Neurospora crassa OR74A: one gene and its partners. The protein of the gene in region 2 interacts with the protein of the main gene of each other region in a biochemical or structural test. Links are inferred from orthologs where the notes say so. Each region holds a gene or a part of one and is shown on either strand. Other genes may lie near its edges.

The links.
Region 1: the proteins of apg-1 (region 2) and ypt-1 form a complex in vitro, tested with the Saccharomyces cerevisiae proteins (2 studies listed by BioGRID). The link is inferred for Neurospora crassa OR74A from reciprocal best matches to the Saccharomyces cerevisiae genes ATG1 and YPT1.
Region 3: of the proteins of apg-1 (region 2) and NCU08973, one has a biochemical effect on the other in vitro, tested with the Saccharomyces cerevisiae proteins (2 studies listed by BioGRID). The link is inferred for Neurospora crassa OR74A from reciprocal best matches to the Saccharomyces cerevisiae genes ATG1 and YKT6.

The regions. Positions count from the first base shown.
Region 1 is NC_026502.1:3,521,720-3,525,474, forward strand, and holds ypt-1 (small GTP-binding protein), read right to left. Parts: upstream 2,421-3,755; 5' UTR 2,148-2,420; coding exon 2,137-2,147; intron 1,878-2,136; coding exon 1,754-1,877; intron 1,684-1,753; coding exon 1,636-1,683; intron 1,568-1,635; coding exon 1,340-1,567; intron 1,282-1,339; coding exon 1,081-1,281; 3' UTR 200-1,080; downstream 1-199. Other genes in the region: NCU08476 (hypothetical protein), read left to right, coding at 3,676-3,755. UniProt on the Saccharomyces cerevisiae protein: The small GTPases Rab are key regulators of intracellular membrane trafficking, from the formation of transport vesicles to their fusion with membranes.
Region 2 is NC_026503.1:2,936,702-2,940,456, reverse strand, and holds the start of apg-1 (ATG1 protein), read left to right. Parts: upstream 1-1,261; 5' UTR 1,262-2,812; coding exon 2,813-2,944; intron 2,945-3,054; coding exon 3,055-3,755. UniProt on the Saccharomyces cerevisiae protein: Serine/threonine protein kinase involved in the cytoplasm to vacuole transport (Cvt) and found to be essential in autophagy, where it is required for the formation of autophagosomes.
Region 3 is NC_026503.1:4,097,355-4,100,499, reverse strand, and holds NCU08973 (SNARE protein Ykt6), read left to right. Parts: upstream 1-816; 5' UTR 817-1,258; coding exon 1,259-1,279; intron 1,280-1,337; coding exon 1,338-1,503; intron 1,504-1,568; coding exon 1,569-1,858; intron 1,859-1,915; coding exon 1,916-2,035; 3' UTR 2,036-2,490; downstream 2,491-3,145.

The DNA of each region.
Region 1 (3,755 bases), on a different chromosome or scaffold from region 2:
GCGATTACTGATTGAATTGGGGTGCTTCAACACAACAAATCCTCAACTCTGATATGGCTGGCTATACTATCCGTGATATGGGACAAGGGGCATTTACCGACCGTCGATTGGACTTCTCATAAATATACTGCTGTCAAGACCCTGGAGAGTGGGTTATCCACAGCAGTCTGATCGTGGCCTTTGGATCAGCCGGCAGGATGTCCAAAATCTCAATGTTTACAGATCCAGTTAGACTATCAAACTCTACTAGCATAACCAAGTCCGTCACTTTGAGAGACTTCATCAAGCGCGAGTAACTATCGAGGACGTCTAGAGCTGGCTAAGGGCTTGAAGTCTGGTGAGCATTTGTTTTTTATGCATGGGTGTGCCTGTACGTGTGGTTCTTCTTGGTGTAAATGTGCCGGTCATCTCTCTGAAGCGAAAGGTTTCCTCTATGTGTGAGAGAGCTGTAGCATGGAAAGATCAGTGGGTTTGCCTCAAAACACAAAAATAGCAAAAACTGTAGTCTAGCTCCTTAAAAAAAAAACCAAAAGTAACAAATGTGTTTAAAAAAAAAAAAAAAACCGTGCCGCGTCCTCAGTTATGCCCAAGACCGAAAATACACACACGCAACACACACACCCCCAACATCATCAAGGGTCGTGGAAGCTCTCTAAGAAGCCCGCCGCCCATCCCATGTCTCAGCCAGCCACTCTTTCCCCCCTTGCCCTTTGCCAGGAATCGTGACGGACACTGGTGATGAGCCAACTATTAAGCTCCCTTTTCCGGTGCGTTCGATCACCATCCTCTTAGGCCCCACCCTAACCTGTCCCGGCAAGCGAAGAAGAGCCCGCGGAACCGTGTGATGAATTCCCAAGGTAGCATGTAAAGCCGCCCCAAGTCTCCTCCCATGTTCCTCGCAAAACCACAGAAGCAGAGCCGAAACATTCCCAACTGAGATCCCATTAGAGCAGCATTTGCATCACAGCTCAACCCAGTGCCCACGCCGTAACATTCAATCGCATCATCATGTCGTCAAACACCGTCCGATGCGAAACCGTAACGCCAAGAGCGCAACCAATGCCGCAAGGCACAGACGCTTTAGCAGCAGCCGCCGGAAGAGTTGTTGGAGACGCCGTGGCCGGGGGAGACGTTGACGCTGGCTTTCGTGTTGTTGGTGGCGATGGAGCTGCCCATGCGCTCCTTGATCTGGCGGGCCATGGTAAGGAAAGCCTGCTCGACGTTGCTAGCGTTCTTGGCGGAGGTCTCGAGGAAGGGAATGCCCAGGCTGTCGGCGAACTCCTGTTGGTTGATGTGTAAGTATGTGGCTTAGACACGAGGGTTAGGGGTGGCTGTGTACCTTGGCGACTGTGTACTCAACAACCTTCTTGTCGGTCATATCGCTCTTGTTGCCGACGAGGAGCTTGTTGACGCCCTCGGTGGCGTAACGGTCAATCTCCTGAAGCCATTGCTTCACGTTGTTGAAAGAGTCCATATCCGTGACATCGTAGACAACGCAGATGCCGTGGGCGCCACGGTAGTAGGAAGAGGTGATGGTACGGAAACGTTCTTGGCCAGCGGTATCCCACTGAATAAGCGACTGGGTCAGCGAATTTGGATTTCCAAAGTGTCCAGGAGTGCCGGGGGGTTGCTTACGATCTGGAGCTTCACGGTCTTGCCATCAAGCTCGATAGTGCGAATTTTCTAGCCAAACGGTCAGCATGTTGATGGGGGTCGAACGCATGTGTTGCGCAGGCAGGATAGCAGGACGTACAAAGTCGACACCGATGGTGGAGATATAGGACTCGGTGTAGGTATCGTCGGCAAAACGAAGGAGCAAGCAAGACTTTCCGACACCGGAGTCACCGATGAGGAGGAGCTTGAAGAGGTAGTCGTATCTGGTTGCATCGTCAGCAGGGTTCTTTGGGGGTGGTGGCGGCGGTGATCGGTCGAGTCGCGAAAGGGAAGGGGACGACGTCGGGTGAAGAGGGGAAGCGGTGGGCACCCTGAAGGTTAAACATGTTAGCAATCCGTCATGGAAACAACATGGGATACGGGCGGCGGCGATGATTGTAGGTGGCGGCAGCGTGGCGGCGGCTTACGGTGATTTGGGAAGAGCAGGAGAAGGGCAACAGGAGACGTGATTAAACCTACTACTCAGGGTTCATGATGGGCAACGAGGGACGCGCTATGCGATGTGGTGGTGTTGGGTTGAGTTGGACAGCGAAGAAATAAGGCGGGTATCGTAAGGTGGACGGTGGTGGAGCGAAAGATGGATGGTTTCGCTGAATGAGATTAGGTGTAGGTCGTTGGGGGTGGGAGGTCGGTCTGTTGGTTGATTGATGATGTGGAGGATTGTAGAAGTCTAGTGTAGGTGGGCGGATGGAAAGGCAGCAACAGCACGCAGCATAGAACCTGGAACGGGCAACACGCAGAGCAACTTAACACGGGCAGTTGATGGAATGGGAGAGCGCCCTCGGCTGTCCTGGCTGACTGCTGGCAGCGAGTGGCAGTGGCAGCCCACCCACACCACCCGCACACTCTCCGGGCGGGGGGGTGATTGGCGACCGCCGGCCAAGAGGCGGGACACTGATCCATCCAAAACAGGGGACTCAAGCGGTGACGATGCACGTGACGCAGCAGCCGCCTCCTGACCCTTTCCCACTTCAGTTGCGGTATGTACGGTATTGCACTAACAATCTTGGAGTCGTCCCGATGATGTGCATTTCACAGCTAAACAAGTCCCAAAAGAAAAAAAGACAAAAAAAAACAATGATGATGAAATGTGGTTGAGATTCCAGGTTATTCTCTGTCCAAGAGACGACAACAAAGTACGGCTACGGAACTTTTTTGTTTTGGTATACCTCGAAAGTGCTTTGGCCGTTGTTCCCATGGCTACCTTTATTATCGTGGACTTGGAGGCTGGGCCACCTGAGCGGTGTCCACATGGGCTTCCATTGAATGAATGAATGTATCAATGAATGAATGAATGAATGGATCAATGAATGAATGAATGATTCCCTTTTTTTTGGATTTGGGAGCAACATTGATTCACGGGTCCAACGGACTCCTGATCTTAGGAAGCTTCTAGCTTCAGTTAGGTTCCATCATCCAGCACATTTACATATGTATGCCGATAAGATAAGGCTCATGTGAAACAAGTGTACGAACGAAATGAGACCTCAAGGTTCTGGATATTTGACCACAACCAAAATTACGATGAAGCATATGTCGTTTCATTGTATGCAACTAGGTTGCTCTCAAAGCCTCCTGACCTACACAATGTCCATGGATAGAGTGTTGATGATCAAGATCCAACCCCACAAAACATCACTATTGGAATCCCTGTCCGTGGGGAGATCCGGTGAGCAAGTGGAAGCCGATCCACCCGATTACCGACCCTCTTATCAGCTCTGTGGTCAACCATCCGAGCCAATCCGTCACTGACATCATTCCACCCGCTGTGCGGCACTCTTCGTCAGAGAGACAAGTCAACCACTTGGCGTTTTCACACTCTTGCAAATTGCATTCAACCCGGCCTTATCTTGCATCGATCCCAGCCCTATACACACCCCATAGTATACATACTTACACTGTCCATCTCAGCGCGGCGTGTTCCGACAGCCCACGTTGCGAGTCCACTCGTGTCGGCCCAGGTACCCGACCACCAAAGTGTTTAAAAACACCCACTGCACCATGTCGGCGCCCACGAGGATACGAATAGCTGCTGGTGGTGTGGTGGGCAAGCAACAGCCATCCCAATGCCGATCCTACTT
Region 2 (3,755 bases):
TGCTGCCTGAGATTCTGGGTTCCGGTTGGCTAGTCATTATTACTCTTAGTAGTGTATACAACGCGCACAGTGGCCATGGATGGATGTGTGGTTGATTGCTTTTGGAGTGCCTGTGTCGTCAAAGATGATTAGACTTTGGTGATATTGTCATTGTTTGGAACAATGAGTAAATGAGTAATTCCAAGCCCCGTCTCGTCTAGAAGCAACCGAAGTCTTGAATCGAGGGTCCTTGCTGATGACTCTTTGGGAACACTACTACCGGGCAGCCGGGCTATTACCTTGTACGTATTCAGTTTGAAATGGAGACAGGTCGATATTAGCGACGGGTTGATGCTCGGGACTGAACATGTCCATCAATTGCGACTTTGTGCCAGTACGCTACGTGATTTTGCCTCGTGCTCGGTTCGGTGCCCGCAAAGACGCAAGACAAGCGGTAAATGACAGGAACAACAACATGACGCGTTTCGACATGGAGACTGACCGTTAAGAGATCCCATAACCGACAACGAAGAACCCACCCAGCTTTATAACCTAATTACGACTGCTTCCTTCCAACGTGTTCGGACAACAGGTTCCAATCATTTTCAAGATTTCCAGGCTGCCTATCCGTGGAGAAGCAAACCCGCCTCAAGGCTTCCAGGTTCGCAGCGAGGTCCAGTGTCACTCCAAGCGGTGATGTTATCAAGCTGCAAGTGCCTTATCACCACAGAAGGACAGGCCGTTTTAGGTAGCGTCGGGAGTTGGGGCCAATGGCGGGCCGGCAACGTGCAACTCCACTCGCAGCGTAACAGGGCCCTCGTACCGTCTGCGTACCCCGGGCCCACCTGACCCCTTCTGGAAAGGCGGAAGAGCTGGGCAGACGGCCTCGAATGCTACCGCAGGGTACCCACGAGCTACATTGACTGGTGCAGACCATGTCGAGGCATCATGACTCCAATGCACCTGCACGGACCAGTCCCCTTGCACATCATCACGAGCTCCAGGTGTAGTCACTCGCAAGTCGCTTGGGACGCTGCCCCCCTCTGCTGCCACCTGGATCTGGCTGATGCTGCCCTGCCCATCGAGGTTCCCGTCCCTCTTTTGCCGTCTCCTCTCGTCATTCACTCACTGCCATTAATCTCAACTTCCTCTCAAGAAGAGACTGAAGATAACGTCTTTGTCTTCCCCCCTTTGGGAATCACGCATATCAAAGTTTATAGTCTACCAACCTAATAAACCAAAGAACTGCGGGCAACGGCTCTTTCCCGTGCTCCGCTCCGGGCACAAATACCCTGGGTACCTACCTAGGTTGACGATTGTACAGCTCGCCCGCCCCCAGTCTTGTGTCTGTTACGTCGGTACCGCCTGGGTACCCGATACGGTACCTCACTTAGAGGTACTGGTGCGCTATCACTTATCGCTGTCCATCCAGCAGTCCACCCACTCCTTCCTGCGGCGTCCCTCGATCCGCATCACCCATCACCGCGACCGTCGACCACGGCCAACCGACCACCCAGACACTCCCACGACAGGACCACACCCATTCCCCCCCGTTGCGTCAGGTCCCCATCCACTCATCATCCGCAACATCTCCTACCAGCACCGCCCTTGGGCCCTTCAGAATTGCCTCCCTCGGCCGGCTCTACCGAACTACCTTTGCGTCTCTCTCCCCCCATCCCATATCGCCCGTTCATCTCTCCATCCTCCGAGTCAAGGTCACAGCTTCGGTCTCCCTCTCCGCTGTCTCCGGTCTCGCACCCTCAGGTTCCGATCGCCATCGGCGGGATCCATCGCGTCTTTGACATCTATCGCCATATACCACATCCATACACCCGACACCATACCAACTTTCGCCGCTTCCGCATGAACTGCCGTATGCCGGTCCGCCGACCATCGCGTCATCCTATTGCTCTCTCGACCCGTTTCTCATAGACGCTACCTAGTACAAATCCGCCATCCTATACAGATCAATCGCACAACTAGATATAACCCAGCCGCAACCCTCGCTGTTGTCGAACCGATTGATACGGACGAGGCCAGCCTGCGGCCGATCGGGTCTGAGTCATTGACTTGACGTAGGACGTCAGTCTGCCGCGGTGGAGGAAGAGCAGCTGTCAACAACCACGCTTCCGTACTGATAGCAGACGTCCAGGTACAACAGTGTCGGTGTCGGAGCTTGGACCCTATTCTACTGTGTCCTGAGCCTTCATCCGTCCGTCGTTTCCTCCATCAACCTCAGCTGCTCGACTGCCTGTTCGTTCTGCCGTTCTTCCGCTCTTTTTCGCATCGACGGTTCCATCAGCCACCCGTTCGGGCTCACCTAGGCATCCCGTCCTCTCCGACTCCTCCAGACTTTGAAACGATTGTACTGAGCTCGACCCCCCTTCGCACCTCCTCTTCCATCCCATACCACCGTATACTCTCTCTTGGCTCCACCCAGTCTCATCGTCGCCTGGCTGTCCATCTGCCATCCCCATCCAAGCCTGGCGCATGACAGATTCGAAGAACCATCAAGGTACTTCGTACTCGAACCTCTTCCCTCGACCACGCATTTGCCGTTTCATCTTTGGCTTCGACACATCCTCGACCTATCATCTCCACCTGCATCATTGCATAACCGAACGCAATCGGCCTTATTCATACAAACTTCTCTGCTTCTGCCTAGAGCTCCTCTTCATCATCCTCACCACCTCAACCCCGGATCGATAGCACCATACTATTTGGCGTATACATGCCTGCCAGACTTGAGGTTGACGTCTTCCGAATAGTTTAGTCCCTTGGGCTACCTACCTTTACACTGACTTCCCGTCATCAACACATACACCAGGAAGCCATGTCGGACCGAACGTCTGCTTCCTCGTCTTCGAGGAGGACGAAGCAGAACTACGATGCCATTGGATCCTTTGTCATTGACCAAGAGATAGGAAAAGGAAGCTTTGCAAAGGTTTATCTAGGTCGACATAAGGTTAGTGTACTCTGCAGCCTCACCCTGATCGATCTTTCAGCATCCCATTCGGCCTTGACCTCACATCCGTACCGTGATCTGGGCTGCTTGTTGACATATCGTGCCTACAGGTCACTGGCGCATTGGTTGCTGTCAAATCCGTTGAGCTCGCCCGCCTAAATAAGAAGCTGAAGGAAAACCTGTACGGGGAGATCCAAATTCTCAAGACCCTCCGACACCCTCATATTGTCGCGCTCCATGACTGCGTTGAATCCTCTACCCATATCAATCTGATCATGGAGTATTGCGAACTCGGTGACTTGTCGCTGTTCATCAAGAAGCGAGACAAGCTCATAACAAACCCCTATACGCACGACCTTGCGCGAAAGTACCCCGTCTATCCGAACGCCGGCTTGAATGAGGTAGTGACTCGCCACTTTCTGAAACAGTTGGCGAGCGCATTACAGTTTTTGCGCGCTGGGGATTTCGTTCATCGAGACGTCAAGCCCCAGAATCTTCTTCTGCTTCCCTCTCCTCATATGATGGCGAACAACAAGACGGCAAAACACATCATGAGTGGCAGCTATGACTCCTTTACGCCTGCTGCCGGCCTAGCCTCGGCCCCGATGCTGAAGCTTGCCGATTTTGGTTTCGCCCGTGTGCTGCCGTCGACATCCCTCGCCGAGACACTGTGCGGCTCTCCTCTTTACATGGCCCCAGAAATTTTGCGATATGAGAAGTACGATGCGAAGGCCGATTTGTGGTCTGTGGGCACGGTATTGTACGAAATGGTAACCGGAAGGCCGCCTTTCAAAGCCAGCAATCATGTGGA
Region 3 (3,145 bases), about 1.2 Mb from region 2:
TCAACTTTTGGTAGGAAGACTTCTAGCTTCACCAGTCTGACGATCTCTCGGCCAGAAGTTCATGTCCAGCTTTACATTATTGGTGATGTACAGACGCGTGGGCAAGGCGGTTCGATGGTCATATGTGTGTAGTTACATTTGTGCGACCATGAATGATATGTACCCGAAAGGCTTCGAGATCCGACACGAGGTGGAAATCCGCGCGGTGTAATATCCGGACCTGGTGGAGAGGATCGATGACTTTGTTCTCGAAAAGGTCATTCAAGGCATCGATCCCATCCGTCTGACTCGAAGGAGTTTTGCTCCATAGTATTTTATACTGGGTAGTCGTGGAATCATATACTATGTGCCTCATAGGGGTAATACTCGTTGAGAGGTCCGCGATCCCTTCCAGACTCGGAGCAGAGTGCATGTCAAACATATTCGCTTCGCGGGTGAACACTGTACACCAAAGACCCTTTTTTCGCTTCAGGAAACCTCGTTAGAAGCATGGGCCGGCGTTCCGCTTGTTCTGTTTGTGCTTTCTAATCACCTTCCACATCATCAGTCCGTCCCCTTGGAAACTTTTGTTCAATGTTCCAGGAAGATGTTCTTGACAAGTGCGATTGTAGGGATCTGAGTAGTCGTCTTAGTCGTCATTGCACATGTCAATCATGGTTGAACAAAAAGCAAATGAAAGGACACGGAGATGCAACAAGAGCCCGTGTTAGGACAAGGTCTTCCTATAGTAGCATTGGCACTAACATGTGCTAGCGGGGCGGTGTTTGGCCGACGCCCGCCTGACGGTGCTGTTCCAGCCCAGAGGGCATGGGTCTCGATGGCCTGGCCCAACAAGAAGCGGACGGCTGTGGTTGGCTTCGACACATCGCCATTCAGCCTCGAACAACAGCTTGATTCCATCGATACCTCATCGCATCGCCATTGCCGCCATCGATCGCGCGTCGTCTATCAAACCCCTCCCCCTAATCCATCGACAATCGTCGAGCCCGAACCACGACCGACACAGCGACGCGCTTCCTTGACCAAACCATCGCAACTTACAATCCATTAACCTAATCTAACGACGAACCCTACGATTCGGCAATTCCAGACCTCATTGCTCCCCACGCCATCACATCGGCTCTCTCTATCCCAACGCGAGACATCAACATCATCGTGTACAGTCAGGAACCATCAACAGCGATACTCGCCTGATTTGCGCCAAAGCTCTGAAACACGACCACAACAAAACCTCGGGGACGTTTCAAATACCGCTACCATGAAGCTCTACTACATTGGTGTAAGATACGGCTGCTTTCATAGGGGGTACAAGAAGGTACCTGCTGACCGCGAACAAGATCTACAAAAACACCGAGCAGCCTGCGGTGCAGCTCTGCGGTGCCCACGAGCTTAGCGACTTCTCCAGGTTCACACGAGACCAATACAAGAACTTCATGACCATGATCAGCAGGACTGTCGCAGAGAGGACGAAGCCTGGCCAGAGGCAAAGTGTTGAGGAGCAAGGTGCGTCTATGGTGAACTCTCTGCTCGCATACATGTGCCTAGCTGACTAGGTGGTGTCCGAACAGATTATATTATCCACGCCTATGCCCGCTCCGAGGGTGTTTGCGGTGTCGTCATCACCAAGGACTACCCTCCTATCGCCGCCCACAGTGTCCTTTCCAAGCTCATGGACCAGTTTCTCTCGGAGAAGCCGGTTGCCACGATAAACGCCGCCAAGAACGACGGCGACATCCCTTTCCCGGCCATCGAGCAGTACCTTCGCGACTACCAAGATGCCAACAACGCGAGCAGCATTGCAAAGATCCAGCAAGAGCTCGACGAGACCAAGATCGTCCTACACAAGGCAATTGATAGCGTATGTCCATTCACAGAGGGTAGCAATGCTCTATATAACATGCTAACCTAGTTTTAGGTTTTGCAACGAGGCGAGAAGCTCGACGACCTGGTTGCCAAGAGTTCCGACCTGAGTGCGCAGAGCAAGATGTTCTACCAGAGTGCGAAGAAGCAGAACTCGTGCTGCCTGGTTATGTAAAGATCGTTCATCAATACCAACCAACCACGCGCGACTGTCTTCGCTTTTAGTCAGCCGCACTGATATATGCCATCGACCGCAACGTTCCCCCTACCCAAATACAAAGAGCGACTGACCCCTCGTTGTCTTCGAGGCACTGGTGGGGGTCTCTTCTAATTCAGCTTTTGGTTTCCGCGCAGGTTGCAGTTTGGCTACTGACGACAGAGGGCCTTACAGTAGCCGCTTTGGATATGTGAAAGCCACTTACCTTGACGGCTTCGTGGGCTCTGAGAATGCTAAACTTCTAATTCAACCTGCAATATACCCTTTCTCATATTCATTGTTGTGTGGTACATACCCGAAACTGTGAAAGATTGACCACTGTTTGGCGCTAAAGCTGTGAAATACATACTTCGACTACCAGATGTAGGTAGTCCTGTTATAGATTTGTTATGTGTCGAACCCGAGGCTGCGCACTTATCTGAGAGATCTTCGCTCCGTTTCTTGCATACCCGTTAGTTTCATACGACATCCGCCCTCAAAGATTATGTGATGGGCCGACACAAGCGAAGCGGTCGGGTTCCCCAGTCACGACATTCGGTTGCAGTGATGACGACCTTGTCCGCCACGCCGTAGTGGCGTAAACTGTGCGAGTCGTAACTAATGTACACTATGGTATATTCTAGGGGTTGTTATCCCTCTCAAGCTAGCCCAGCCAAAAAGACTCTTTTGAAGATATGAATGGAAACGTTGAGATTCAAACTACAAGACTACGCAGCAGCATCAATTGAGCTGATCGATGATGGCGGCATTGCGTACGGATCTTCCTCCATGCCGATCTTATATCGGCTCCGTCGGCGTCTACTCATGTGCACTACAGACGTTGGATGCAAGCTGGGGTTCGAACAACATCATAGGAAACTGAGACTGTAAATGTGCGGGGTGGCAGAGGCGCTCCTACCTGATGTCGCGCCTTTGCTTCAAATGAATGGGGATTCGGCTTACGGCAAAGATCATATTAGAATTCATGGGATCATCATTGGGGGTCTTTGTAGGTGACTGACATGTCGAGAACATCTATAGTCAAGGTAGAGAATATGTCACAAGTGAGAACTGCTACATATACGGCGT